Schizosaccharomyces pombe: one gene and its partners. The gene in region 1 interacts genetically with each later gene. Each region holds a gene or a part of one and is shown on either strand. Other genes may lie near its edges. The genes, in order: SPOM_SPAC1B3.02C, htr11, sap114 and imp1.

Region 1 (6,710 bases):
ATATCCCTATGTCCAAGCCCATCCTAGTCTCTTCTAAAACGGGAAAAAATGTCGAACAAATTCTACCGGAAATCATACAAAAAATTCCTCCTCCCAAGGGGTCAGAAAATGCTCCGTTACGCTGCCTGTTGATAGACAGTTGGTACAATAGCTACCAGGGAGTTATAGGATTGGTGCGAATTATGGAGGGCTTTATAAAAAAAGGAGGAAAGGTGATGAGTGTAAACACAGGTAGAAAGTATGAAGTACAACAAGTTGGAATTATGTATCCTGACATGACCGAAGTTTCGCGTCTTCGAGCAGGACAAGTTGGTTATATTATCTGGAATATGAAAAATATTGATGAAGCAATTGTCGGGGATACATATTCAACCATCGGATCTAATGTTGAAGCATTACCTGGTTTCTCTATTCCCCAATCAATGGTTTATGTTGGCGCCTTTCCTTTGGATGGCTCGGATTACGAGAGACTAAATGATAACATCGAACAATTGGCCCTTAATGATCGTGCTATTAATGTACAAAAAGAAAACTCGTCTGCTCTTGGGATGGGATGGCGTTTAGGTTTTCTTGGAACGTTGCATCTTTCTGTCTTTATTGACAGATTAAAGGATGAATATGGAAAGGAATTATTAATCACTTCTCCCACAGTACCGTATCGCATAAAATATAAAAATGGAAGGGAAGAAGTAATATCGAATCCTAATCTATTTCCAACAAATCATCAAGGTATATCTGAGCTTTTAGAGCCCACCGTCGATGCAACAATTATAACACCGAGCGAGTACCTAGGAGATGTTATCAAGTTGTGTGAATCTTGTCGAGGACTCCAAAAGGACTGCACTTATATGTCCGAATCGCGATGCATGATAAAATATCAATTACCTCTTGCTCACCTGGTTGAAGATTTCTTTGGTCGATTAAAAGGGACAACAAGTGGTTTCGCTACCTTAGATTATGAAGAATCGGATTACGTTCCTGCTGATTTGGTGCGACTATCAATTTTTATGAGTGGAAAATCTGTAGATGCTCTTTGTTCTATAGTGCATCGCTCGCTTGCACTTCAGCGAGGCCGTGAATGGATTCAACGGTTGAAGCCGTTAGTTCCTAAACAACTATATGAAGTAATACTTCAAGCTGTCATCGACAACCGAGTAGTCGCCAGGGAGTCTATCTCGGCTCTTCGAAAAAATGTCACAGCAAAATGCTACGGGGGAGATGTAACAAGGAAGCAAAAGCTACTTAATAAGCAAAAGGAAGGGAAAAAGAGATTGAAGTCAGTTGGAAATGTTTCAATTGACAAATCGGTAAGTAATTACATTGCCTGAAGACTTCATCGAAATATGTTTTAAAACTATTAGGAAACACAATTTTGTGTTTTAAAATTTAAATACATTGTTGACTTCACTCAACAGCACTTATATTTCTTTATAGTCCGTGTGTGCTAACTTAAATCAGGTATTTTATGAATTTTTAACGAAGAAGCAATCTAATTGAAAAAAGTATAAATATTTTTTGGTCTAATAAAAAGTCAAATTTTCTTCTGCTAGCATTTTTTTAATACAGTATGTTTCTAGAAGTTTCGTAGAAAATCTCTTCGCAGTAGGTTGCAAATATAAATCACCACCTTTTTAATAACTAAAACTAAATAGTTTGCACAGATCTGTATATTTCGTCTGCGTAAAATCGCTATTCATTCTTCTTCTTAAAGCAACTTTGTGGTGTGAATACACTGAGGAGACTGGCAGTGAAATATCATTACTTAAAAACGATCATTGTTTTTTTTTGCACGAAATGAGTACTTACGCCTATTTTAAAATTAGCATTGATGGTAAAATTCAACCAACAATCTACTTTGAACTTTTCGACAACGTAGTTCCCAAAACTGTCAAAAACTTTGCTTCGTTGTGTAATGGGTTTGAGAAGGATGGCCGTTGTTTAACCTACAAAGGTTCAAGGTTCCATCGAGTAATTAAGAACTTTATGCTTCAAGGTGGTGACTTTACTCGTGGTAATGGAACGGGTGGAGAAAGCATCTACGGCGAGAAGTTTGAGGACGAGAACTTTGAGCTCAAGCATGATAAGCCTTTCTTGCTTTCCATGGCCAATGCCGGCCCTAATACCAATGGATCTCAGTTCTTCATTACTACTGTTCCCACCCCTCATTTGGATGGAAAGCATGTTGTTTTTGGCAAGGTAATTCAAGGAAAATCTACTGTTCGTACCATTGAAAATTTGGAGACCAAAAATGACGATCCGGTTGTACCTGTTGTTATTGAAGAATGTGGAACTTGCACAAAGGATCAGATTGAGGCACCAAAGCCAGACGTTACTGGTGATTCTCTGGAAGAATTTCCTGATGATTACGAGGGTGATAAGTCCGAGACTGCCATTTTCAAAATTGCTAGCGACTTAAAGGGAATTGCTAACAAGCAATTTGCTCAGCAAAATTTGGATACAGCCGTTGCCAAATGGCAAAAAGCTTTGCGCTACCTAATGGAATACCCTGTTCCCAACGATGACTCTAAGGAATCCCCTGATTTCTGGAAAGAGTATAATGCTTTACGATACAGCATATACGCAAACCTTGCCCTTGTAGCTTTGAAGCAGAACAAACCTCAGGAAGCTATTCGAAACGCCAACATTGTAATTGAGGCCAGTAACTCTACTGAGTTAGAGAAACAGAAAGCATACTATCGTTTGGGTTGTGCTCAAGGTCTCTTGAAGAATTTTGAAGAATCAGAGAAAGCACTTGCTAAGGCTGGTAACGATCCTGCAATTTCAAAGAAGCTTGCAGAAATTCGTCAAAAGAAAAAAGATTATAAGAAGCGCCAACAAAAGGCCTATGCTAAGATGTTTCAGTAATTCCAAATTAATCGGCGTCACGTGAATGCTGAGAAGTCAATTATGTTTTACGTTAATTTCTAGTTAGTCAATGAGAGTTTTATCGCATTTACAAAATAACCATAGAAGGTCAACTACGTTGCGAGAAAGAGTGCAAGATTTACTTATGGAGGATCTGGCTTCGTTTGTAAGACTGGTATGCCTACGTTTGCGTTTCATACAGCAAAGTATCATCATGAATAGAAAGAACTCTAGAAACAAATGTGCATCAGTAAACTCAATAAGAATATCATATTTAAACATTTAATTCATTAAAATTAAATAAGACCGTCTCTTACCAAGTGTCGAAATTACATGAGTTTCCGCATTACCCTTCCTAAGGATGAGAGTGCTAATGTGAACCCGCTAATACGAATCTGCAGTTTGCAAAACGTAAACAGATTCTGCAAATGGGTAAAAGAAAAGCAAAAGCAAAAGTGAAACCCAAAAGAAGGGCACCCCCATTAGATACGACTGTGAGTTATAGTTTAATTACGAAATTTACTAACTTTACTAGTTTACGTGCCTATTTTGCAACCACGAAAAAAGTGTGAGCTGTAGTCTGTATGCTTATTAACTACTTTCATTTTTTTTAACACTTTGATAGTGATAAACAATCAGGAGTTGGAAATCTACACTGCAAAATTTGTGGTCAGAGTCATCAATGTCTAATTACAGGTATGAAAGAGGTGTTTTATTTCAATAGCGGCACGTAAATTATTACGATTAATATTGCGGTTAATTTCTTTTATATCGTCTCTTTATCTTCTTATTTCTTGTTCTTTTATGAAATTTTCTTGTACACTTATTTACTAACATTATCAAGCTCTTTCGGCACCCATCGACGTATACAGCGACTGGATTGATGCTTGTGATGCTGTTGCAAATCAAGCTAAAGAGGTTGATAATATAAATGATCAAGAAGCCTATTCCCCTGAAGCAGCTTATGAGGAAGAAAAGGAATGATTTTTTGCTATTGGCCTAACTTGCAAAAGGAAGATTCTTTTCAGAGCTTAAATGTTGAAAGTTTCCGTTCATTTATGGTGATCTTATTTTCGTTGATGCTCAGTCGTTTCAATTAAGAGATTTCTCTGAAGCGATAAGAAGGTATTAACTACATTGCAATGAACAAGACGCTGTATTTGGCAAAACCGGACGAGCTTAGTGTATACAAATCTAGGCATGCTCTTGTATATATTTGTCCTTTTTAAAGACGTCGAACATACGAATTTCGAGATTCCATCTGATGAACCGACAATTGGACGATAGTGTTAAGCTTATTTGTTGGTATTCGGATGTACCATCAATATGGGTGTGATATCTTGCTCATTGGCAAGATAGCCATTTCATTGCTTTGTTTTTGGTTTGGTAGAATCGCTGTTCACTATGACAGGCTAAGAATTACGAGTGCCTAGAGTGTGGTTGACTTCGACCTTGTACTTATTGTATTCTCCATGTACAAAAAATGTCTAGAATGAAAGAGATATGAAAATATGTTCATGTGTTCTTACTGCATTTGATTTAAAAATCCTTACAATACAACTCATTTCTTGGTTTCTTGTGAATACAGTTGGATGAATTGAGAATTACAAGTAAAAAACATTGAAATCCAATTAAGATTGTAAGCTGCATGGAGTCCAATTGTATGAATGTGTGCTTCAAAAATTTGTACTGTCTTTCTCATTCTTAAATATAAGCAGTAATTCATTTAAAAACATCAACTTGCCCTAAAATATGTTCAATAGTTAATTGATATTCTTATTTAATTTTGCCAAGCCTGCTAGAGTAGAAATCTTTTACTGCGCTAAGTAACGCATTAATCATAATTATGTTATTATGAAATGATGTTGTAAATCTTTATTTATGTTTAACGAAATATACTAAGGTTGATAAAACTCATTTTGCTATTGATAGCTTAAAAGCAAATGTGTTATTGTGCTTTTACTTTTTACCATTTACTTGGTAAACAACTTGATAGGTAGATATTTAAGCATACATCGTCAAAAAGATGTCGCTGGTACCTGAGCATGGAAATGTGTACGTACTAAATCAGACAAATCAATTAAAAGGGTTGTTTACCATCATTCGTGATAAAACGAAACCTCGTGTATGCGCGTTCAGTTTACAACAGATTACTGAGTCAAGGTCTAAGAACTAATTGAAATGAATGTGTTAATATGTCCAAGAAATTTTAGCTTTTTCCTCTATTAATGGGGAGATAAATGTTTATCAGTGGATGATAGGAAGCATTCATTATCAGTTAGTACATTCGACAACTTCTCGTGTATTCTTTGTTGAATCTGTTATCCCTGCTAACATGATATTTAGTCTGAATTTATTTTTTATGCCAATAGAATCATTCGTTTAATTGTTGAAGAGGGCCTCAACCACTTGCCAGTGTCTTCAGCTAAGGTAACGACTGCTCAAAATGCTGAATACGAGGGTGTAATGTTTGATGGTCGTATTTGCGGCGTTAGCATTATGAGAGCTGGCGAAAGTATGGAACAAGGATTGCGTGAATGCTGTCGTTCTGTTCGTATTGGAAAAATTTTGATACAGCGTGATGAGGAAACTCATAAACCTGTGTTACACTACATCAAGCTTCCCGAAGATATTTCTAAACGCTATGTCTTACTTTTGGACCCCATGCTAGCCACTGGTGGCTCTGCTATTTGTGCTATGGAAATTCTTATCAACATGGGTTGCAAACAAGAACAAATCATTTTCCTCAATGTAATTGCCTCGCCTGAAGGGTTGAAAAATGTTCACGATCGTTTCCCCAATATACGTATAGTTACCGCCGTAATTGATGAGGGACTCGACAACAATGGGTATGTGCACGATACACTACAAGTGTTCATGAGGTCAATACAAAGTTGATCGCTATTTCATTCATGAATAATCTTTAACACATATGATTTAGATACATTGTTCCAGGTCTTGGCGATTTTGGAGACATTTACTTTGGAACGAAGGCCTAAAGTTGCTTTGAAAATTTGCTCAATTAAACACACAACCACGCACTAAACATTAAAAGACTAATTTTAACAGCACTTAATGAAATTGCGGTTTCTTAACTTTTGTCTCTTCTTTTTGTTGTGTTTGTGCTACCCAACTTGGTGAGCGTCGAATCTGTAAATATAGGTCAGTGGCCGTTGTTTAAATAGTAATAGAAGTTTGGAAATAATTGTACATACTTCAGGATCAGAATAAATCTTATATCCCATGGTAAATATTGCAGTGGACCCAGCAATTCCAATGAGGATTGCTAAAATTCGTTAGTGATTTGACAAATTCGGTTTTCTCAGTAACTAACCCAGAGGTTTGAGCTCAAAAGGAAGCCTTTGAAAGGCCCTGTAAGGTTTCATAATTCTTGATAAAACTGCCATTTGTACACTTAATAGTTAAGCATTCAAAGTCTTCTCTTCAACTTATATTGGGTTGCCCTTCCTCCTGGTCTCGTCATTATTGCTTTACTTTGGCCACACTTATGTAAAGTGGTATATTGACGAACTAACGAGGCATATTAATATATCATAACAAACGGGGTTGCTTACTGTGCGCTAAGAGTACTGTGTGTGTTGATAAAATTGCTCAATCGATGGTGTTGCAATGTAAATAATCAATTTCTAAAATGACGACGAAACAGTTATCGCAGATGGGGAATTTTTTTTCCGCGTATTACAAATGTTGTATTACTCTTTTTGTCTATCATGCTTTATGAAGTTACTGTTGAAGTTTTTTGCCTGTTATTCGTTCTTTAGCACTTGCTTATCTCAAGTGGCAGCTTGTCCTTTCGTGGAAGTAGGAATCAAAAATGAACAGAA
Region 2 (10,373 bases), on another chromosome or scaffold:
TTTATGTCTGGGTATAGTCCTTTGTCTTCTGGACCAGCAGACGTCCATATTGGAAAAGCTGGGTTCTTTTCTTCGGTTATCAACCTTGCCAATACTATTTTGGGAGCTGGAATTCTTTCCTTACCAAATGCGTTTACCAAGACTGGTCTGTTGTTTGGGTGTTTGACCATCGTCTTTAGTGCATTCGCTTCTTTTTTAGGATTATATTTTGTTTCCCAATGCGCCGCACGACTCCCGAGGGGAAAGGCTTCATTTGCTGCTGTTGCCAAGCACACCTTTCCCTCTTTGGCTGTTGTCTTTGACGCTTCTATTGCTGTTAAATGCTTCGGTGTAGCGGTAAGCTATTTGGTTATTGTAGGCGATTTAATGCCCCAAATTGCTCCATCACTTGGTCTCTCTTCTCCAATGTTCCTTAGGCGCCAAACATGGATTGTCTTTGCGCTTTTCGTGCTTACTCCACTCTCGTTTCTTAAGAGGTTGGATTCTTTACGGCATACGTCTGTGATCAGCCTTATAGCTCTTTGTTACCTTGTGTTTATTGTTTTGTATCATTTTATCATCGGGGATACTGTAAAAGGAGAAATCCGCTACTTTGTTCCTGAGTCTGGCTTTGGCTATTTATCTGTTTTGCCCGTTTTCGTTTTCGGTTTCACTTGCCATCAAAATGCTTTCAGTGTAATAAATGAGGTCAGAAATTTCTCTCAAGGGTTCGTCAATTTTACTATGTTTACTGCTATTATTTCTTCTACGCTTTTGTACTTGCTTGTGGCTATTACGGGATATCTTTCATTTGGATCTCTGGCATCAGGTAATATTATCGCAATGTACGATAATACCAGTATTTGGATTATTGGTGGAAAGCTCGCTATTGTTGTACTAGTCCTTTTTAGTTATCCCCTTCAATGCCATCCATGCAGAAACTCTGTTTACCAAGCTATACGTCGCTCTTATTCTGCTCATGATATGAGTGATGGTTATCATGCCGTAATAACATTATGCATATTGTTATTTACTCACTCTCTGGCTCTTTTGCTGTCTTCTCTTGAAATGGTCTTAGCTTTTGTTGGAAGTACCGGTAGTACTTTTATTTCATTTATTCTTCCTGGATCTTTGTATTATTTTTTCTCTCATAAAGTTGCCTCCCCAGGTAATAGCAGCCCTCTACAGTTACGAATTTCCAGGGCCTTCGCTGCTGGACTGGCTATTTATGGCACAGTTGTTATGATTTTGTGCTTAAATATTAATATTGCAAAGTTATCTCATTAATTTTACTTTGGCAATCTTTTTCCAATTTATTTATTTATTTCTTAATTATGCGTTTAGCACTTCGCTCGAAAATATTATTCAAATTCCATTAAATACTAAACGCTATTTCTCTTTAATTTTTTTTTTCTTTTTCTTGTTCATAATTACTTGTTCGTTATGTCTTAACCATTAGGAAACATTCTCGGATTTTGCTTTTACTTCCTTGGTGCATTGCTTGAATTAATTTCCGGACGCAGGATTTGATGCATCTTCAGATGGGTACCATACTAACCAGGATTGACATGGAATATAGTGCCATGGAGGAGCTGAACCTTGTGTCAACGAGGTCTGGCCCTGGAAGTCCGAATCTCTGTTCGCTTTGTTTTCATAGCTTTGATGGTTACTTTCATCCGGTATGTAGTAGAGAAAGTTCATATTTCCTCCATCGGATAGGGTAATTTGAGGAGGATAATAAGGTTTTGGATATGCAGCAGCTTCAGGTAAAACAGTATGATTGCAACCAAATGATTCATAGGCGGTATTGAAAGGAGTATTCGTGTTCCCATAATTTGCCTCATTGGTAATATCTAGGAATTGATATTCTTCGCATATTTTACACAACCTTTCGCATGCATTATTCTCACTCATAAGTCGAAATGCCCGCTGAAATTCACTCTGAAGTCCTTTGACGCTAGGATTGTCAGCAGTATTTGCAAGGTTTCGAGCAGTATTGAAAGGCTCTTCGACACATAAAGAATTGTTCACCTCCATGGCCCAACCTTTTTCCTGTTTGTTCAGTACAGTTCCCGATCTCACAGATACCACTGAGTCCAGATAATTAAACGAAAATCCATAGTAGTAAAAAAAATCTATTAAAAGTCTCCCTAAAGATGTTTTGTTGAGAGTTGCTTTCTCCTTGAACCCGACAATGTCATCAACAAACATTTTATTATCATCATTACTCATTAAATCGAGCATTGCAGGTAGGATTGGGGGATTTCTCGTTTGCAAAAAATTTACCAGCATACAAGAAATTGTATAAGATGTAATTGTTCCGCTGCCTGCAGCATCACATAGGGCCCTTTGCTTTGCCCAATACTTGATAATTAATCCTAGTGGCCGTACTCGCGGGTCGATTGAGACAAAGAGACGAAGCATCTTAGTATTAATCTTTGCCACGTCGTTATTAATATTTAAGTCACAGTGTATGTCAAACTGTGGATCCCAAATTTTAACTATAGGGACTCGTGCTCTTGAAACGCAGACAATTTGTTTCATGCCATCTGTTTCCTGGTTAGCTTAATTAAAATAGACATACTGATAACTTACAAGAGTAAAGTAATTGAGCCAATTGACATGTTGAGTTTAAGTATTTGCTACCATTGGTGATAATGCACACATCAACGTCCGACTGTTGTATAGCCAAATTGTTCTCAGTGGATCCGAATACAAAGAGATCCAATTTAGCATCTTTAATTTCGGTACTTAAAATAGTGCGCAGCTTGTCAACAAATTGTTGACGCCTGGATACTTCTTCATTAGAAGGTTTTAGTCGCATATATAATTTCCAGCACTCGTTAGTCAGTTCAGCATCCACTGTTTCATTTATTTGGTCATTTCTATGTTCAGATTCTTGTAGTTGTACTAGATTAGCATCAAAACGTCTTTTTTTTTGTTGCATTTGTCCTTCAAAAGGGCAACAAGTAAATGTCAATAACTCCATATTATCCAAAATTCTGATAACCTCTGTAGGTGGTTTTAAAAATAATTGAGCATCAATGCTATTGTGCAAAAATTAAAGTGTGTAGAGTTGTGTGCTTGGAATATATTCCTCATCACATAAAGTATAAACAAATGAGCCCTTTGTTTACATGACCAACTTTATGCTCATAAACAAATATAGTTATTTATAGTAAGTTAAGCCTCCTAAATAAAAATATTAACTTAAAAAATATTAAATGATGATTTATTAACGCCTAATAACCTAAGCCGAATTTGCAAATAATGGTATGTGAATCTACATTTCAATTTATTATAGCAACCAAGTGAACCGCTCCAAGTTCAAATAATCAGCTCCAGCTTAAAATAAATCCTCATAATACTTTACTAGAGTAATAAAACATAGATAAATATACTTTTCAAAAGTGCAGAGCTACGTAAGTTTTGGTCTAAAAACAAAATTTAAAAAGAAAAATTTCATTTCTTCAACTAGTTCTTGAAGAACAGTTAATATACGTTAACATTCATGAAACATAACAGGCATATAATAGCAAATCGATATGATACAAACAAAGGGACATAAGGAATTTTAAGAACAAACTTCTTTGGTCTTACGCTGTAAATGTTTAGTGCACCATCTACCATTAGAATCTCTTTCAATGATACAAGTAGGCCAAAATAAGGGATCTGGTCGAACACTGACTATACTAGTAGCACCACGACGGTTCATTTGCTTAACCTGAACAAAAGTATCAGTAGGCTTCTCTAACAACATATGGTAGAAATCGTCAAAAGTGTTAATATCGTGACCATCTACTGCAACTATCCAATGCGCTGCACGAAGCATATTCAAAGCTGGCGAGCCATATAATATGCTGCCGACGTAAACCCCTTCAGGTCCAGGAAGATCAACATCAGGCTCAACTTGCTCGAAAACGCTTGAATGCGTTGGGTGAATGATAGCACCCATCCAGCAAATTGCACGAGAACTAAAAGTGGGATATTCGGGATACAAGGGAATTGTTATTTCCATTTCAATTCCATCGCGAAGGATGACCGCCTTTATTTCACTCTCGGTTTCAAACTCATGAAGGTCCGATAGACGAGTAATCATCTTTCCATTAACCTCCAACAGAATATCACCGACTCCAAGAGACGTTTTGTGAAGTAGTGGGCGCAAATGAGAAATCACATATAAAGGTCGAGGGATGGTACCGTTTTCTCTGGATTTCATATAAAATTCAGACGATCTGGTTTGGGATAATCCAAGTGTAGAAGCACCTGCCAAAGTGATATGTGACCATTCCACCCCAGCTGTTGTTGGCACATGCTGCGCACGAGCTGACGGTGGTAACTTAAGCCTTTCGAGAACGGGAAGAATGTAAGACATTGAAAGACCATATTTAGTGGTATAGTCTTTTCCACCAACATCTTGGTGAACAACAGATATCCAGAGTGCTACTATTTCGCGATCGTCGCCTACTTCTCGAAACACTAAACCTCCAGTAGAAGCTAAGGAATCCATTAAAGAAATGACTTCGCAATTTACGTACCGGAATCTAGGTGGAGAAGAGCGTTCTGTTTCAACAACAGATACACTTCGCACTGTTGTTTTCTTTGTCAGCAATTGCAAATCTTCGTCGAGAGCAGCCAGCGTGCATTCATCTCCTGTCCGCAGGAAATCAGCGACGAAGTTAAGTTGCACAGAGTTACTGGGCAAGTAATCGCACGAGACTACAGCAATTCTATTGTCCAAAAAAGTTAAATGACCCATGGCGCTCATCGACTGGAAGGTCAAGCGAATATCGCAAATATCAACAGGTATAACAGAACGATCGACAACTATTAATGGTGGCACTACAGAAACAATTACTCCGGTACCACTGTATAGCTTAGTAGAGCTGAATCCGTTGATGCTATATGGCATTCGACAATGAACCAGAACCAATGCATTTTGAATCGCTTCCATACTTTTGGATCCCTCTTGTGGTCTCGGAATTACACTAGGTCGGCGAGAAATAGACGGCTGAGGAGGAGGGAGACTTTGTCTGTCCCATGTCCCTTTTTCATCATTCCTTGAAAAGATGCTAGCCAGGAAAAAGTGTCTATCAACTGTCACTATCGTGAATTCTTCTTCATATTTACCAAGGACTCTAAAGTGCATAGGCACTCTGGCATTATCCGTCAACTGGACCAAAACATCAATGAAAGCATCCAAAGTTGGAGTGGGTTTATTGGCAAGTCTGGTAACTAAAAAATCGCGGGTTCCAGAGGACCAATTGAGCATACCAGAAGAAGCCACATATGTACCAGAATTTAAAGAAAATTGGTATGAACGAGCAAGCTGATAAGACAAATCGTGAAGCACCGCGCCTCCGACTTCCAAGAAGCGTGAAGGCGTTACGTTATGCAAGTCTTGTACAGTCAGTTGAAACGTTAAAAAACCACGTTTAGGACGATAAACATGCAGCTCAATCGTTTTACCGACCATTTCATCTAAAACTTCGAATAAAGAGACAAAATCAACAATGTATGTAGACTTATGAGAGTCTGTTTTGAAAGCAATTAATATATCGCCAGGTTCCAAAGCCTTAGAGACTTCAGAATTTCTGAGAACTCGCGAAACAACCAAAAGACCAGTACTACTAGGAACACGGGTTCTACAATCGTATTCAAATTCCCTTGGAAGGCCAATGCGACTGAGTTCGTCGTATGACCAATGTAAAAACTCGGTAAGAAGAGTACCACGAGTAATAGGAGTATTGTTCTCAATACATCGCAAAGCTCGAACAACCCGGTCCAGAGGAAGATAAAAAGAAGAGGCACTGCTGTTGGATCCTCCCGAGTTTAAAGCAACGGCGGCACCAGAGATGTCAAGAACAGGACTGCCAGAGCTGCCTCCACTAGTTCCACTAGCTGCCTGATAATAAAATGTATTAAAATCGTTGTAGTTGTCAATTCCGTAGTTTGGAGCTGGACGATCAAGACGAGCCAAAGTGGAGCTTAAAATAGACAATTTTTCACCAGCATCGTTACCAATAATTCGAATATCTATACCTACCTTGGCTGATTCAGGGGAAAGTGAAATTTCAGTGACATCGTGGAATCGAATGGAAGATGGATCATAACGAAAGAAGCCAAAGTCATGAACAGGATCTCTGTAGATGGGATAAATATCAATTTCTTCATAGTTTATGAAAGAGGCACGAGCTGAAATGGGTCCTGGAGAAACAACGTGTCTGTTGGATAAGATAAGACCAAGTGTTTTATTCACGACAAAGCCAGTTGCGCAAAAACTACCGGCGCTTTCAGTATCAAAAGAGCGTAATGCGGAGCCTTTAATGGAAACGATACTTCGAACAACATTTTTAATCGTATTATCCCATGTATGGTGAATCTCTTTGGTATCTAGATAACGTTCTTCATCTGTATTGCGAATGGGAAATGGTTCGCTAACATTGTATAAACCTTCAGCAATAACATTCTGTTGCTGGGGCGTATTACATTCAGAAGTAATTTTATCAGGACGAAATTTGGGTAGGAAAATGTGATTAGGCCGATAATCGGAGGAAACTGGAGTCATGATGAAAGGTAGAAACCGACAAGAATGTAAACAAAAGCACAAGATACAGAAATTTATAACAAACACAAAGAAAAAGCGGTTGAACACTAGGTATACTTTTGAATCTCGATAGTGTTTAACAGGCTTTGCTTTGTAAACTGGACAAGCTTTAATTGGAAGAATAAACGAATTTAAATAACAAATGAAAGTTTATAATAACTTTTGGGCAACACAAGCAAAGTTCTAAACGAGCCGCGAAATACTAATTATCAAGGCCAAATAAAACTCGAAAAGTCAATCAAGTACTGACACTTGTAAGCCTTTTTTGTAGGATAAATGGAGAACACTATATAGCGACAAAGATCTGTTTTCAGTTATACAAACATACAACAATGTCTGTTTGCAAGGAATTACAAATCAATTGCGCAATGGCTATCAGATGGATATATGAAGGAATTCCTATATAGAAATCTCAGTATCCTTAATTTGACTACTCAAGCAATAAGATAATTTACCTGAAACAGTTATAATATATTTAGTAAATCAAATATTTTGACAATCTGCTTCACTTTACTGACACACCAATGGCAAGATAACGATAATAATTGCAGACGGTGGCTTGAATAGTTTGCAGAAATCCTTTCCAATTCAGAGATAAGAAAAGATTAGCCTTTATATCTTTTTTTTTAATTAATCAAACGAAAATGACAGGAGTAACGACAAGTAGAAACAAAATACACACACAAAAACGAAACAATAAAATAAGTAATCAAGTGTATGAATGAGAAATTTTAAATCTTGTAAGCCGTAAAAAAAACGAAAAGATTTTAAAAATTCCCAAACTCCACTGTATGGACAAAAACGAAGCGAAAAGAGAATGGGATTTGCAAGAATAGTTTTGATAAGGTCAGTAGCAATCGGGGAATGCTATGATAATAAGCGTAGAACAATGATCTCCCTTTCTTTTCTTTTGCAGATAAGCTCGATCCTGAATTTTAAACTACGCAGTTAAAAGTAATATTTGCGATATGATGTCTAAATTTCGCTATTGGAAGATTCTTGTTTCATTCGTTTTGCCCATCGGCAACGCGGGCTTTCAATTCAATATATATGTAGGTGAACGATGTTTGCTGTAATAGTTAACTTCACTAGCGTCTCATACCACCAGCAGACAAAGTGCGTGGCAAGCCGTTTGATCAACAATTCTATTGCTCGATGATTTTTAAGAGTGATGTCAAAGTCCGAGTGCGGCAAAAATAAGACAGCGTAGCTTTAGAAGTGATTTCGATGAATTTCACTCAAACGGAGGATTGCGACGAACAAGGAGCCGCAATGTCGTTTGTTCAAAATCGGATTTCTTGGTTCCGTGACATTTTGCAAATAAGCTAGAATCCATCTTCATACGACTGTGTCGTATTGAATGGAAATGGAAAACTGAAAGAATGGGTTCGAAATGGAAAACGACATTCTGAGGATGTTTGACAGAATCGGTTATGTGAACCGAAAGTGAATGTACGTGGTATTAGCGTAGAATTGTTTGAAAACTAAAATGGTGTTACTTTTTGAAAACTGTTTCGTTTGTAGTAGGTTGATGGTTGAACAAGACAAAACAAAGATTATTAAGGTAGCTTTAGATTCAGGGATGTTTATTATGACAGTGTTTGATTTGGGTAGGAGATTGACAGTTTAAGTATGGAAATAGGCATTCAATAGCATATTTGAATTGAATCACTAATGAACTCGACTCGCATTACTTTAACATTTTGTCATTTGTTGTGTAGAAGAGAGTTTGAGAAGACAAATCAAAGATGATCAAAGTTGGTGTTATTAAATAAATATCATGCCGAAAATACAGCTGAAATAAATATTATATACGATTTTAACGATGTGGTGCTAGATGAGGCTGAAAATCTGGAGGTAAAATCATGTATGAAATATATATTTCTCCACAATTAACAGGTATCTTGAAGCCGTGCAGGGTAAAAGTAGTAAGGCTGTCGGTCAACACGCCAAGGAATGCATTGTGCCATTGAATGACCATATTTTAATATTAGAAGGTTGTATTGATAGTATACGGAATGAAAATTAAATTATTAGGAAGAAACGGGAGTCGAGGTTATCGCAGTAAGCATATTCTCAAAATATACAATTTCGAGCTCTAAACAAACAATGATTGGCTTCCATGTATTGGAGTCAGCAATCTGTCTCGCCGACTCCAAAGAGTGAAGAGTCGAGGTCAAGAGTGATAATACACTAGTGCGCTGAACGTCAGTTAATGGAGGCAAAGCAGCTTCTGATAAAGAAGTAGGCCCCAGTATTGAGATTAGTTTTGTTTCGACAGCTTGGATTTGATGGATCAAACGTTGGAAGAATTGCATTCCTGGAAGTGCTTGCCCGACCATTAGTCGCAAAAGATCTTCTCTTTTCTTCAATACTTCCATCCGTTTTTCAAGGGAAGATACATTAGCATGTGCATCATACTGCTCCTGCAGAGTTAAAAGGCGATCTTCCATACTGAGTGCCTTTTTCTTTTCTAGATTATCATAAGTCTGGAGTCGTTTTACAAGGGTGTTTCGTTGGTTCGTTACAATCGCCAACTTTTCCTGCAAAATTTGAATTTCCTCATCTAAATGTGTAATGCTTGTCTTTAGATTCGATATTTCTTCCGCTTTGTGCACCTCTGCCAGACTTGCTTTGGTCGATTCAATTTGGGATAAAATGTCTGTCTGCGAGTCCCAACGGCTCTTCAATTTCCTTTGCTGGCTCCTATATAAATCAGCGTTTTCTTGACAAGCTTGACACCATAACTGCAACTGCTCAGCGATGGCTTTTCGAATCCTGGTCAAGTCGTTGGGCTGTTTAGATTGAAACAACACTTCAGCCAGCTCATCCAAAAGCGATTGTATTTTCCTTTCCACTTTTGGAAAGGAGCCACTTTCTTCCATATTGTCAAAAAGCTCTAAGCTACGCGTTCTTGTCGATAAGCCAGAAGAAGAGGTACCTTCATCATTCAGCATCCCTTCATTAGACTTGTTTGGGAATTCGTCTAGCGGAATATATTCTTGTTTCATTTTAAAAAGGTATAATACACGAAAAATCTAGTAAATGCGTAAATTTGGTAAGTTCAACCCTTTTTTCTTCATAACAGAAAATTATATCGCATTCAACATCACTAGTGTAAGTTTTTCGCTTTTTTTATATACGAATCTTTATTTTTTCAGTCTTCCTATCTTTTCAAGAAACCAATCCGTTCAAAATCACACTGTAAAATGTATTTCTTAACTATCAGTGTGTGCAAATGTCTATGTGCTATAGTGGAACAATGTTGAATAGTCGCGAACTTGTGTTTATGAAGCCAGTAGACCTTTAATAACAATTCAGACTTTCTCTATCTCAAATATTTTTTTTAGTCAACTAAAATTGCGTATTAGGAGCGCCACTACTATCATGAACTTCAGTCCAAATATTAAACTAAACTTACAACATCTTAGAGTTTTTGGCACCAAAAAAACTTTTGAATATCCTGTTGTGTCTATTATTTCAATTTTTTATTGTATTTCTATATGATTCAGTATATTTGTAGCAAGGCTTTTGATAACGTAAATATACGTCGCCTTTCATACACACATCCGAGTAAAAGAAAAAGCGACAACCAAAAGACGGGGAGACCAATAAATCTAGTAAAATCAAAGAAAAGAAATAATGAAGGTATATCCTTTCGCAAAGATTAAATGCAATGTTGAAATCCACGTGAACCGACCTTTAAATAACGCCAGGTTCCAGCCATGACTTAACTGACTCCATATATATATTAAAATAAGAAACGTTTAAAGATATGGATTATAAA
Region 3 (7,447 bases), 3.8 Mb from region 1:
GATTGATCCAACATTTGCTTAAGCATCTGAGCGATTAGGTCATCAATAGAGGGAATAGGGGAAATACGCTTGCATCCAGGTTCATTGTGAATACCCATTCCAAGTTCCATTTCATCATGTTTCATTTCATCTTCTTTTGCAATTGGCTCATGACCAGGGACGTGAACGTGAGCGAGTGAAGCACCGATACTAACCAAATTGTCAATAGCAGCCTTAGCAATGGTCGTAACGGCTTCCAAAGGTAACCCTCTGGCGGCAGCTGCACCAGCGATTTTGTGAACAAGAACAGTACCAGACAAACCACGACGTCCGACCTTACCGCTCTTCTTACGACCTACTGATACGTCATCTGCAACGGCAATAAGTTCAGCCTTCTTACCAGCCGTTCTTTGCTTCTCCAAGGCCATACCAAAGTGAAGGATGTCACCGGTGTAGTTTTTGCAAATTACCAAGGTGCCAGCCTCAGATTCGACTTGCTTAATACCGGTATAAATTTGCTTTGACGAAGGAGAAGCAAAAATGGAGCCTGAGACGGCGGCAGTAAGCATACCCTTGCCCACGAACGAAGAATGAGTGGGTTCATGACCAGCACCACCGCCGGAAATGACACTGACATTCTTTTTGTTGTAGTCATGGAAATAGATGAATTTTCCCTCTTCATGAACAGTTAAAGTTTTGTTCATGTCGGCCAAGGATTTAAGGCCATCAAGGACGAGGACTTCAGGATCGTTGATAAAGTGCTTATCCATATTTTAGAATAATAAGAAAAAGGTAAAAAAAAGAGAATAAAGCCTTAAAATAAAATTAAATATAAGTTGGATAGTTAAATCAAATATTCCCGAAATTTATGATCTAAGAATATAAAATGACTTGTTTTAGGTGGTGGGGAAGTGCAAGTGTGAGTAAAGGATTAAAGAAATAAATCTATGTGTCTCTAAAATCTCAAAATATTAATATCAAAATTCCCTTCAATGCGAAAAAATTAACACTTTATACGCTACTATGCTTCAACTGGTTTAAATACAAAATAAATAAACCAAGAATATACTAGTAAACGTTTCGTTTCGTTACGTTATGTCTCGTTTTCGTTTCGCTATTTCGTAAAAGTTATGAGTGTAGCGGAAAAAGGGAGCTTGAAGACGATTTAATAATGCTGGCCTTGTCTCTCTATATATACTATATAACCACCAATTTGCATGACGAAGTGCCCCGCACGTAACGGAAGTGATATTATGCTGAAACAGTGAATAAACACATCTAGATAACCGTAGAACCGTTTTTCATACCCTTCAACTAATTACGAAATGTTGCCGATATGAACAATTAAATTAAATATCAGCTTGCCTTGCCGAAGATGACCTCAATCCATTTTCCTAGTCAAAGAAAAATTTCGCTGACCTTTTGTAGATCATATGCTAGAAAAGTAGTAAAATCGCAGCGTAAACTTGAGTCACCTTTATGTAGCAAAAGATTGCCTTAAAAGGGCAAACTCTACCAATGCCCAAAGAAGCAATGGGACAGGACGATGGCTATTTATTGAAATTGTTAAATCGTTACGAACTGCCATAAGAACCTTAATTAAAAGAAGGTTGTCGAAAAGTGCTCCGGTCTGCACATGTGGAACCAGTCATCTTAGTTAGTGCAGCCCCGGTATTCCACGGTGAAAAGCAAGTTTGCAGTGTAGAAGACAAATGGACCATTTGTTCATCAGTATATACAGTTAGTTAAAAGGATACGAAAGGCTGGATCATTTAGTGAACGAAGTCGCAAGTGAAATACTTGTTCATTATTATGTTCTGGTAAAAAAACCAACTTTTATTACTACAGCAGGAAAACAAACAAAAGTAACATATTGTTGGCAGAAAACACACAACCGAAAAAAACCTGTCTACTAGGAAATGGATCATTTTGATACTTCTGATCCGTTAGATACATTGCAGAACAAAAGATCGACCGAAAGGTTATCAATGACAAAATCTCTCTGGACCCTTTTGTTCTCATCTCTATTCTGTCCAAACCATCATCATCTAGTTCAATTCTTCTTGGACTCTGGTTTGGATGGAATAGTCAAACATTTAATGCCGTACTCTTCCGTAATCATGGCAATGACATGTGCAACAAAGTTGCCGTAAACACCAATGCAAATTCCAACGTAGCAAAAAAAGTATTCCGTCTGAACGTTTTTTAATACGCCAAAAGTATAGGCGTCCACGGCATCCACCAAGAATGGAAGAATAAGCACATTCCAGTATGGGAAGGGAGATTCGGTAATGTGAGAAACAATTACCACTCCAACCGAATAAGCAAAGATAAAAGCGTTCAAGCAAAAAATAGTGAGGAAATGATGTTCAAAGAAAGCAGGATACTTGGCATAGAGTGAAAAGACAGCCATCCATTGGAGGAAATAGGGAAGGATACCACTCAATGCTTTAATCACACTTCCGTTGTTCTTTTGGACGGCTTGAAGAGCATTTCGTAAACTTTGTAAGACATTCAATAGCAGGGCAAATGCCATAAAGTTGTACAAGCATGATCCATATGTGTAGTATGGCAGAAAGGAACGTACAAATCCCCATGACTCGGGAGTGGGATGTAGCTTGAGCCAGAAAGAATCACCCTTAATAGCTGTAAGGGCAAATAGTCCAATAACCATTACAATTCCTTCGACAGGACCCGAGAAGTATGAAAGGTACAAAGTACCCGTATGGTATTCTTCCCAAGTAGAGATGTAAAAGTATAATAAGCTGGCAAATTGAGTAAGGATTGAGCTAAACATATCTAGTTGCAGCAGTTCAATCGTCAGTAAAACTTCAAAGCTCGTATTGATGGCGTCTACTCCATGGTCAAATAATTGACCTAATGGAGATGATGTGCCAGTACGACGCGCTTGCGAGCCATCAATAGCGTCAAAACTTTGGTAAAGAAAAAGGCCAATCGCCCAAGAAGCATACACCCATGATGGGAAAGCATCCATCTCATAATGATACTTGTACACAAGCATAGTAAGGATATTGATAACAACGAATCCAAGCCCGATCAAAGTAATCAAATTAGGTCTAAGTAAAGAGTTAGTAAGAATAAGCAAGCAAACGGGTGTAGATCATACGCCATAGACATGGGAATCACCTTCAAAAGTTGATTCCACCAGTACGGCTTCAAAATATATTTTGAAAGAAGTGAGTTATCAATCGCACTATATTTATAGTTATGAAGATTCTTTAACTGCTTCCGGTTTAACTGCATCTTGAGAAACTACCTGGATATCCTTTCCTTATTCTCCGATAAAGTACTGGTAGAGGGTAAACATGTTACGCGTCTTAGTGTGTAGAAATAAAGGCAAAGCAACGAATGCAGATAAACCTTCTACCGATAAATAAATGTATAATGTAGCTTGCAAAAAAACTTGCACTATAACTATCTTTTAAATTCTAAATTGTAAGGATAATTGTTGCTATCAACCGTTTTGATGTTATTTGTCCATCCGCAGTGGATTACGGATGCCCTAGGCAACAACTGTTTAGAGCAGCAAGGTCGCCCTAAACTTTTATAAACTTCTATTGAATTTCAATAGTCCTTTCTTTTCGCTTGTCCATCGCTTCATCTGCCTTGTGCGACAAGTGTCCTTCCACCACTACCTTTTTCTGCATAAGTCTCACATATGAGTTCTTTAATGGAATTCCAAGACAGAAATACGACAAATAATGAAACAGAACACCAAAAAAGCATCACTGATCAAAGTTCATCGGTCCCTGCAGGGGTAATTTTACCTCCTCCAGCAATTCGAGGTGAGTCATAGTAATTAGTACAATAGACGCGCCTGCTAACGTAGCTTAGAAATAATTGATAAATCTGCTAGTTACGTTGCCAGAAATGGCCCAGCTTTTGAAGAAAAAATTCGCCAGAATGAACAGGCAAATACTAAGTTTGCTTTCTTGCATGCTAATGACCCCTACCACCCATATTATCAGCACAAATTAACTGAAGCGAGGGAGGGAAAATTGAAGAGTCATGCCACAGGCTTGTCAACCCAAAAAACATCCACTTTGGCTCGTCCCATTCAAAAACCTATAGAGGCAACTATTCCTGCTCCCTCACCGTACTTGTTTTCAGAACCACTTCCTTCTATTTCATCACTAGATTTGTAAGTATCATCTCAACTATTATTTCCTTCTTCTTTGAAGTTGCTAATTAACCGTGAATCTAGAGACGTGCTCCGTTTAACTGCGCGATATGCGGCAGTTCGTGGTTCTTCTTTCTTAGTGAGTCTTTCTCAAAAAGAGTGGAATAACACTCAATTTGATTTTTTAAAGCCAAATAATGCATTGTACCCTTACTTTATGCGTATAGTTCAACAATATACTTCTCTAATTAGAGAGCCCATTTCTTCGCCAGAACAGGAGCTTCGTGAAAATGTGAGAGACCCTTATAGCTTACTTTCTAAAATTCAGCCGCGTGTAAGGTGGCAATCGCATATGGAGAGCCAAAAGAAAAAACAAAAGGAAGAAGCCGAAAAAGAGAAGTGTAAGTGTATATTGAGATGCAAAAACTGGTTCAGGAAGTCCAATATTCTTCATTTACCATTTGAATTGGAACTAACTTGTCTTAGTGGAATATGCACAAATTGATTGGAACGATTTTGTCGTTGTTGAAGTGATTCAATTCACAAAGTCCGATGAACATGCAAAATTAGCTAAACCTACGAATTTAGCGGATTTACAAACTGCTACTTTAGAACAAAAGTCTGCCATGTTTACCATGCCTGACCAAAATTACACTATTGAGGAAGCTCCTCCTACAGCGGAGCCTTGGGAGCCCATAAGTGCGCCTAAAAAACAAGAATTTGGTGTTTCTCTTCCTCCATCACTTGCTTCTCCAGAAAAAGGAGGTATTTCTTCAACTACTTCAGTTTCTCCTGCCGCACAAGCTTCTCCCGTTTTGTCTACCACTACTCAGCCGAAGGTACAAAAGCCAGTACCAAAGGGTAAGTTTATATTCCTTATTGTAACTTTACTGACCCTGTTTAGCTTTCCAGCCCAAAGTTCCGATGGAGATATCGCCTTTCTCAGGTGAATTGGTTCCCGCTACAGAACTAGAAGAGCATATGCGTCTAAAATTACTTGACCCTCGCTGGCAGGAACAGCGCAAAGTTGAAGAATCTAGGAAATCAACTTTAAATTTAGAGAACGTGAACGTTGCTGCAAATATGAAAAGATTGGTTAGTCAACGGACTGATTTGTTTGACGTCCAAAACGGGGTAGAAATCTCTCAAGAGGAAATCGAACGAAGAAAACGTGCTGCTACTCAGAGCGCTTGGGGAGCAACTCCCACAAATAAACGCCGGTAGATTTCATAGAACTTTTTTTAATTTTGTTAATTTTTACTTTATTTTATTTAAGCTTCGTAGGACGCCGAAATCTATTAGTTAATTTGCTTCTACAACTCGTGAAATAAATAAGATGTAAATAAACCAGGTGTTGTAGACTTTCTCCAACTAATTGAGAATACAAATATTCTTTATTATAAAAAGTCCAATACACTAAACAAAGCTGGATTTTAACTTAGGAAATGCGGGTCTGGTTTTCATACCCGCCCACCGTCATCCTTAAGTTGTCATACCACGTAACCGCACAAACCTCTTAATTTTTTACTTCTTACATTGTTGATTCTTCATTTATCGGCTTTAATAAATGCTACATACTATCAATTATAGATCTTGGCATTTGGCTGCCAGGCAGTTAGGGCGTTCAACGTTTCGAAAGTTTACGACCGAATCGTCTACTAAAAGCCCTATTGCAGATGTTTGTTTCGCATTTGAGTAATACAGTAATTAATGATCGATTTTTGAAACTAACCAAAGCAGTATTGATGGAGTTTTAATTAGAGGAGGAAGAGGTTTGAAAGAAGGAACGAAGACGTAAGCTTAACTATGAACTACCATTTTCAAACTAACTTGTAAGTTTGAAATTTTTGCAAAAAAATAATATACCTTTTATTCTGTTAACGAATGGAGGTGGTATGCATGAGAGTGTTAGAGCTCAGCGTCTTTCCAAGACATTGAGCGTAAGTTTAACAGAGGATGATTTTTGTCAATCACATACCCCCTTTCGCGCTCTTGCGGATAAGTATAAGCACGTCTTGGTTCTTGGAGGAAAAGACAACAGCGTCCGTGAAACTGCTGAAAAGTATGGGTTTAAAAGTGTTATCAATGAACTCGATGTCATCGCAAAGTTAGGAACTCCATTTTGGCCTTTCACATCTTTTAACGAAGAAGATATTAAAGATGCAAAAGACTTTGACGTTACTAGACCCATTGAAGCAGTTTTCACTTATGTCGATCCTGTCCGACTTGGTTTGGATCTTCAATTGGTGATGGAATTGGGCCAGTCGAAGAATGGTGTTTTAGGAACAGTTTCGAAGACAGCAAATGAAGGTCCCGATATTTACTTTTCTAAGTAAGTTATTTCTTGGAAAGTATCTTTTGTGTAAAAATATTTTTGCAAGCTGTACTCGAATACTATGAGTGAATGCTAACAGCTTTTATAGTGCGGATTTAATTTGGCCTAATGAGTATCCTCTTCCCCGCTTAGGTCAAGGAGCTTTTGCAATTTGCTGTGAAAGTGTTTTTAAAGAACTTACTGGAAAGGACTTAAGAAATACGAAATATGGAAAACCTCATAAGCTGACTTATGATTATGCTAAAAACATTTTAATGAAGAAGCATAAAACTTTAGGAATCACCAATCCTCCCAAGGAAATTTTCATGGTTGGTGATAACCCCGAAAGTGATATTCGTGGTGCGAATAATTACGGTTGGACTAGTATTTTAGTACGTACTGGTATCTTCCAAGGAGACAATAGCCCTAAATATTCTGCGAAGCACGTTTCTGATAATGTATGGGAAGGTGTGCGCTGGGCTCTATCCAAACACGTTCCTGCTGCCAAATTGAACAAGTCAATGGGCGAGGTTCGTGGATTTCACACCTCTTCTCGTGTTTTAAACACTGTGACAAAAAGTAATAACAGTAAGCCTATTCAAAGGCCTTTGCGTGAGAATATTTTTACCTTGCCAAACTTGCTGACATTCTCAAGGCTCCTTTCAGCTCCATTAATTGCTTATCTTTACATTTATGATTATACTAAAGCTGCTGCTTGCTTTTTTTTATATGCTGGATTTACGGATTTGGTTGATGGGTATATAGCTCGAAAGTTTGATTTAGGCAGCATTGCTGGGACAGTACTTGATCCGTTAGCCGATAAAACGTTAATGACTTGTTTGACAATATGTTTAGCGGTGCGTGAGACTATGCCATGTATGCTTTTTGTGTTTATTAGTAATATCTAACCTTATCTAGTAACTCTTGCTAGCTTGATTATTGGAAGGGATGTGTTGCTCGTCTCGGCTGTCTCATATCTTCGTTATAAATCGTTGCCAGCACCTAAAACTTTT
Region 4 (5,975 bases), on another chromosome or scaffold:
CATATTATCATCAGGGCTGAAATAGGACACATGATAACCGGCCAAATGTTTCAATCCTCTTGGCCAATTGTAATTTTAAATCTTCATTTTCTGATTCTAAACTCTTCCTCTCCAATTGTTTTTCTTCAATGGAGTTTTGTAACTTTTTAATTTTCTCTAATTGATGTTTTGGTGCAGTGGAAATACCTGGAAGTTGGTTGATCAAAGTGTCTATTTGCATAAATTTTGTAACCAAGTCTTTTGCTAGATCCCTTTGAGCGACTACAAAAAGAAGTTAGCACATAAAATGACTAGAGGACGTCTAATATCGTACATTGTAACTCTTCAGCAGAAATTGGGTTCACTAATAATTTGTTAGTAGCTACTTTGAATAGCATCATAATGAATCTTGTATACCTTTAGAATCAGAAACCTTTTCTTGACCAGGTAAAGGAACGAAATCATGATGAGAACTTAAATAATGAATGGAAGAGTAAAATTGTGTGGCAACCTACATAGGTTAGAATAGAAAAAGAAAACTAGTCCCATTACCTCATCAATTGTATCTTGAAGCTGAGTACACCTACATGCCATTTTTTTATGTAGGTGTAATATGAGTTAAAAAGAGTTGAAAGTCGCAAGTTGTTGAAGGTCCATGATGCAGGTAACAATTGTTGAAGCGCAAATGTCAAGAACAATAAATCGCTAATTAACTTTTCTGTTATTTCAGCATCGGATATTTATTATGCACAGCTTTTGATTTTATGACATTGTTTGTAATTGTAATGTATCGACCTAAAAACCGACTGTCTAGCAATCGGGAAAAAGAATTAAGCTAGAATCACGCTTGACATAAGCAAAAGAAATTTAACATAAAACAGTACATAAAATTTAAAAAAAAATTAATGGAAAGCGAAAAAAAATAAACTACAGAAACTACAGAATCAGCTAAGTATTTTTAATTAACATAGAAAAACAATGATAATAGTAATACATTCGACATATTTATTATATTTTTGATCGTGGAAGGGTGTCCGAGTGGTTATGGAGCTAGTTTAAGGCACTAGTGCGAAAGCTCGTGGGTTCGAGTCCCACCCCTTTCAGTACCTTTTTGATAATCCATTCATTCTGAGTGTTTTCATATTACGTGAAGGTGCATTGTTATTAAAATTGCAGTACTCTGCTTTTAAAAAGATAGCGGACAATGCTACAAATTCAATACAATCTATCCTTTTAAGCAAACATAAATCACTAAATGTTTAACGAATATGCTACTACGGGTCTTGAATATTCACAATATTCTTTTATTAGGAAATGCATTAACCACCGGTACCTTATAATATTCTTACGAAGTGGGTACACACTGAAATAGCTCATTGGTGACCCGAAGAACGGAGGTTAATTTATTTCATAGTCTCGTATATTTGGCAGTAGTTACATCAAGAAGCAACAAATGGTGCATCACTGTCAATATATGTATATATACTATAGATAAATAAATACAAGGCATGTGACTTATATAATGATACTTAACGTAACGTACTATCATCAACGCTTTATTCAAAATAATGAAATGTGCTAAAATGTGATAAAATATTTGTGATACCGCGTTGAGAATCATATTGAAAGAGGTTGCAAATTGCTTCTTGCACCAACTTTGGCTCTTATGCACAAGCAATGTCTTCTTCCAATTGGGAAAAGTTAAAGAAGGTATGAAAGGCTATAGTTTCCATTAAGTCATTTAAGATTCTTGTTTAAGTATACTAACGGTATTGGTTGTTTAGAAACTCGACAGCGCTAAGAGTGGACGGGTTGAAAAAAAGCATTCTAATGAAAAGAAATACCTTAAAAGTGTGAAAGGTAAAAACAATGAGAATGAGAATTCTTATATCGTCGATAAAAAACGCATGAATGAATTAAAGAAATTTGCTAAGGAAAATGATATCCCTGAATCTCAAGTCCTTGACGCATATGGCGTGGATGCTTCCAAGCTTACCAGAAAAACCAATTTGGAAACATTGGGGAAATATATTGCAATGGATTGTGAAATGGTTGGGGTGGCAGATGACATGTCAGTTCTTGCACGCGTCAGTATAGTTAATTATCATGGTCATGTCGTGTATGATACTTATGTCCGTCCTAAAGAAAAGGTTACGGATTGGAGAACATGGGTCAGTGGTGTCAAGTCATTTCACATGCGGGATGCACCTTCATTTGAAAAAGTACAAGCAGAAGTTGCTAAGATACTCGACAATCGAGTATTGGTTGGACATGCTGTCCATAACGATCTCAAAGTACTACTTTTATCGCATCCAAGAAGAATGATTCGTGATACCAGCAGATTTTCTGGGTATCGGAAATTAGCCAAGGGAAGGACACCAGGGCTTAAAAAACTTGCTGAAGTGATTCTTGGGCGTGACATTCAATCTGGACAGCATTCTTCCGTCCAGGATGCCCAAGCAACGATGGAATTATATAAGAAAGTAAAAAAAGAAATGGATGAAGTTGCATTCAAAGGTTTGTCAAAGTCATAAGCTTTGAATCACTAGACTTCGTTCTGGTCATTTGGGATTTGGGTTTAATAATATGCAAGAAAATGTTTCTTATAATTTTACTGGATATGTGTCAGATGTTAAATATATTTTCGGTTGCTTATAACAGCAATATTGTTTTCATTGGCTCTTATGAAATCGTTGGTTTTCTTTCTTTATTTATCTCTTCTGTTTCCTTCGTTTCTGGTTTTAAATAGTCAATCTATTAATAATTTTTAGTATAAATAAATGATGCATACAACTGAAGGAAAGAAATAATGTATGGAAAAAACAAGGATATAGAGATTTATCAGCTTCGTTTATATGGTCTTCATAATTACTTTGTGAATTAATAAAGTTAATGTTATATAATTAGATTACTTCCTATAGTGTATATGATTTAGAGCATTTTAACTGAATGACGATAATATGTTTTCAAGCGCCGTTAAGTTAATTCCTAAATTTATATAAATACCGAATTAATCTTTATTATCACAAAAAAAATAAAAAATATATATATTAATAATAGCTACCAAATAAATTCTAGTTAGACAATGGACCATTAATGTATACATATTAATAGCTTACAAAACAGATACGGAAGTGTTTGAAAAATAAGTATTTATTCAAAGATTAAATTGCTCAACTATATGTATTATATAATCAAAATAAAAATAAAAATAGGCCAACTTGACAGGTTGTTTAAAGAAAAATTCCATTTGTTTTTAAATTTTGAATTCTTGTTATAGCATTCAGCTTGTTAAAAACCCAAGAAAAATTGGTTGATGAGCTCAATAAGCATGTTGTTTTACCCGTTTTATGGTGCGAAGGTTTCCAATGACAGAACAAAAATGATCTAGAAAGTTTCAACGATTTGAACCGGAAAATGATATATTTCAAATTATTCTAAATTTATTATTTTTGAACATTGTTACCTGGGTGCCGGCTGCTTCTTGGAACGACACAAGTGCTCTTTTACCTCCTTATTCTCATTAAACTCGCAGCAACCACAACTGTCTTAGATAACTAAAAAAAAAAGAGTAAAAAGGATATCAAAAAAGTTTATTCCTATAGAAATGGAATCGAGATATTTATCAGATAGAAGAAGCCGTTTTAAAAGCAAAGGTGTTTTCAAAGCTGATGAACTTCGTCGGCAACGTGAAGAACAGCAAATTGAAATCCGCAAACAAAAACGTGAGGAAAGTTTGAATAAACGAAGGAATTTAAACGCTGTTTTACAAAATGACATTGATGTGGAAGAGGAGGCTGATCAGTCTCAGGTTCAAATGGAGCAACAAATGAAAGATGAATTTCCTAAATTGACAGCTGATGTGATGTCAGACGACATTGAGCTACAATTAGGTGCCGTCACGAAATTCAGGAAATATCTTTCTAAGGAGACGCATCCCCCTATTGATCAGGTAATTGCTTGTGGTGTTGTTGACCGGTTCGTACAATTTTTAGAAAGTGAACATCACTTGCTTCAATTTGAAGCGGCTTGGGCCTTAACAAATATCGCTAGTGGTACCACAGATCAAACCCGTATTGTTGTTGATTCCGGCGCTGTTCCTCGTTTTATTCAATTACTTTCTTCACCTGAAAAAGATGTCCGTGAGCAGGTTGTATGGGCCCTCGGTAACATAGCTGGCGATTCTTCTGCCTGCCGTGACTATGTACTCGGTAACGGAGTTTTACAGCCTTTACTTAATATTCTTCAGAGTAGCGCTTCTGATGTTTCTATGCTCCGTAACGCTACATGGACACTTTCTAACTTGTGTAGAGGCAAAAATCCACCACCTAACTGGTCAACTATTTCTGTAGCCGTTCCAATCCTTGCTAAGCTCCTTTATTCTGAAGACGTTGAGATTATTGTTGACGCGTGCTGGGCCATCTCCTATCTTTCTGATGGACCTAACGAAAAAATTGGCGCCATTTTAGACGTTGGATGTGCGCCCAGGCTTGTTGAACTTTTGAGCTCTCCCAGCGTTAATATTCAAACTCCTGCCCTTCGCTCTGTGGGGAATATAGTAACAGGTACTGACGCGCAAACACAGATCATAATCGATTGCGGTGCTCTCAATGCATTCCCTAGTCTTCTCAGTCATCAAAAAGAGAACATTCGTAAGGAAGCTTGTTGGACTATTAGCAATATTACTGCTGGCAATACCCAACAAATCCAAGCAATTATTGAAAGTAATCTTATACCTCCATTGGTCCATTTACTCTCATATGCCGACTACAAAACAAAAAAAGAAGCCTGTTGGGCTATTTCTAATGCTACTTCTGGCGGTCTCGGTCAGCCTGACCAAATTCGTTACCTTGTGTCACAAGGCGTTATTAAGCCACTTTGCGATATGTTGAACGGATCCGATAATAAAATTATTCAAGTTGCTCTCGATGCCATTGAAAACATACTTAAAGTTGGTGAGATGGACAGAACTATGGATCTTGAAAACATTAATCAATACGCTGTCTACGTTGAGGAAGCTGGCGGTATGGATATGATCCATGATTTGCAATCCTCCGGAAATAACGATATTTATTTGAAAGCGTATAGCATCATTGAAAAGTATTTCAGTGACGAGGACGCAGTTGAAGATTTGGCACCTGAAACCGAAAATGGCGCCTTCACATTTGGCAATGGCCCTCAAGCTCAAGGAGAATTTAAATTTGATTCTCAAGATATGGCTATGTAACGTTTAAATTAATTTTAAAAAAATTTTTTTTGTTCTAATCGAAGCGCACATTATTTACATGTTTCACTTAGACAAATTCTGTTTTCCATTACTGGTGCTTTTGTTGGGTTTGTATTTCTTTTTTTTACCCTCTATTTTTAATTCAATTTAGCTATTTGTGAAGCTAAGTATTTCTATTAGGATTAAAAACTACGGTTAAATAATATGTTTACGAAAAAAATGAGTGTACTACTAAAACAGAGCGGTACAGGTAAATAGCATGATATCACTAAAAATGTTTATATTCGTAAGAGCTGCAACTAGGCAAAATAGAGAAGGGGGTTTAGGATCAAAGAAAATAAAAATAAAAGAAAGCAGCGGGGACGATATACACTGTTAGGTTCAAATGACTTCGACTAATCGGTGAATGCAATTTGAAAACCAATAATGACGCAAATTTTTGCTAATAAGCATATATGCAAATCAAATATGACTGAAAAAAACTGCAGCTGTCTTATCGTATTATGTCCCTCGAAAAAACAATTTAGGCACTAGCTAAGACCTTTTCGATTTCACCGAGACTTTCATTGAGAGCATCCTGTTGGAACTTTTGGGTAGAAACTTTGCTGTTGACACGAGCCAAGACATCTTCAACGAGACGTTCCTGTTGTTCAGCGCGAACGTTGGCTTCGTGATGAACCCAGCTATCCAACACTGATTTAGCTTCTTTAGCTAAAGCAACTCGCTGTTCGAGCTCAAAGATCTCAGCCTCCATACGGGCAGTTTCTTT

The links.
Region 2: mutations in SPOM_SPAC1B3.02C (region 1) and htr11 together harm fitness less than expected from each alone (positive genetic interaction), as found in Schizosaccharomyces pombe (one large-scale study listed by BioGRID).
Region 3: mutations in SPOM_SPAC1B3.02C (region 1) and sap114 together harm fitness more than expected from each alone (negative genetic interaction), as found in Schizosaccharomyces pombe (one large-scale study listed by BioGRID).
Region 4: mutations in SPOM_SPAC1B3.02C (region 1) and imp1 together harm fitness less than expected from each alone (positive genetic interaction), as found in Schizosaccharomyces pombe (one large-scale study listed by BioGRID).

Annotation. Positions count from the first base shown.
Region 1 is NC_003424.3:4,926,100-4,932,809, reverse strand, and holds SPOM_SPAC1B3.02C (Elf1 family transcription elongation factor), read left to right. Parts: upstream 1-3,264; 5' UTR 3,265-3,293; coding exon 3,294-3,359; intron 3,360-3,400; coding exon 3,401-3,447; intron 3,448-3,490; coding exon 3,491-3,561; intron 3,562-3,709; coding exon 3,710-3,849; 3' UTR 3,850-4,638; downstream 4,639-6,710. Other genes in the region: GTPase GUF1, read left to right, coding at 1-1,307, 1,459-1,497; cyclophilin family peptidyl-prolyl cis-trans isomerase Wis2, read left to right, coding at 1,795-2,865; SPOM_SPAC1B3.01C (uracil phosphoribosyltransferase), read left to right, coding at 4,892-4,990, 5,212-5,714, 5,807-5,864; protein Min8, read right to left, coding at 5,938-6,015, 6,081-6,151, 6,200-6,272.
Region 2 is NC_003423.3:502,097-512,469, reverse strand, and holds htr11 (serine protease), read right to left. Parts: upstream 8,120-10,373; 5' UTR 6,548-8,119; coding exon 3,554-6,547; 3' UTR 3,414-3,553; downstream 1-3,413. Other genes in the region: vacuolar amino acid transmembrane transporter Avt5, read left to right, coding at 4-1,266; poly(A) polymerase Cid11, read right to left, coding at 1,486-2,528, 2,575-2,968; SPOM_SPBC1685.04 (uncharacterized protein), read right to left, coding at 8,620-9,597.
Region 3 is NC_003424.3:1,170,367-1,177,813, reverse strand, and holds sap114 (U2 snRNP-associated protein Sap114), read left to right. Parts: upstream 1-3,365; 5' UTR 3,366-3,658; coding exon 3,659-3,785; intron 3,786-3,834; coding exon 3,835-4,141; intron 4,142-4,204; coding exon 4,205-4,521; intron 4,522-4,606; coding exon 4,607-4,981; intron 4,982-5,024; coding exon 5,025-5,344; 3' UTR 5,345-5,463; downstream 5,464-7,447. Other genes in the region: dihydroxyacetone kinase Dak1, read right to left, coding at 1-749; ept1 (CDP-alcohol phosphatidyltransferase class-I family protein), read right to left, coding at 2,033-3,056, 3,107-3,243; cardiolipin synthase/ hydrolase fusion protein Crd1, read left to right, coding at 5,688-5,815, 5,858-5,914, 5,958-6,452, 6,544-7,310, 7,353-7,447. UniProt on the Schizosaccharomyces pombe protein: Involved in pre-mRNA splicing. May be involved in endoplasmic reticulum-associated protein degradation (ERAD) and required for growth at low and high temperatures.
Region 4 is NC_003423.3:3,913,040-3,919,014, forward strand, and holds imp1 (importin alpha family nuclear import signal receptor adaptor Imp1), read left to right. Parts: upstream 1-3,515; 5' UTR 3,516-3,586; coding exon 3,587-5,206; 3' UTR 5,207-5,475; downstream 5,476-5,975. Other genes in the region: srb7 (mediator complex subunit Med21), read right to left, coding at 11-261, 314-343, 397-490, 532-573; exoribonuclease Rex4, read left to right, coding at 1,657-1,689, 1,764-2,513; F0-ATPase subunit atp4, read right to left, coding at 5,730-5,975. UniProt on the Schizosaccharomyces pombe protein: Functions as a component of the nuclear pore complex (NPC).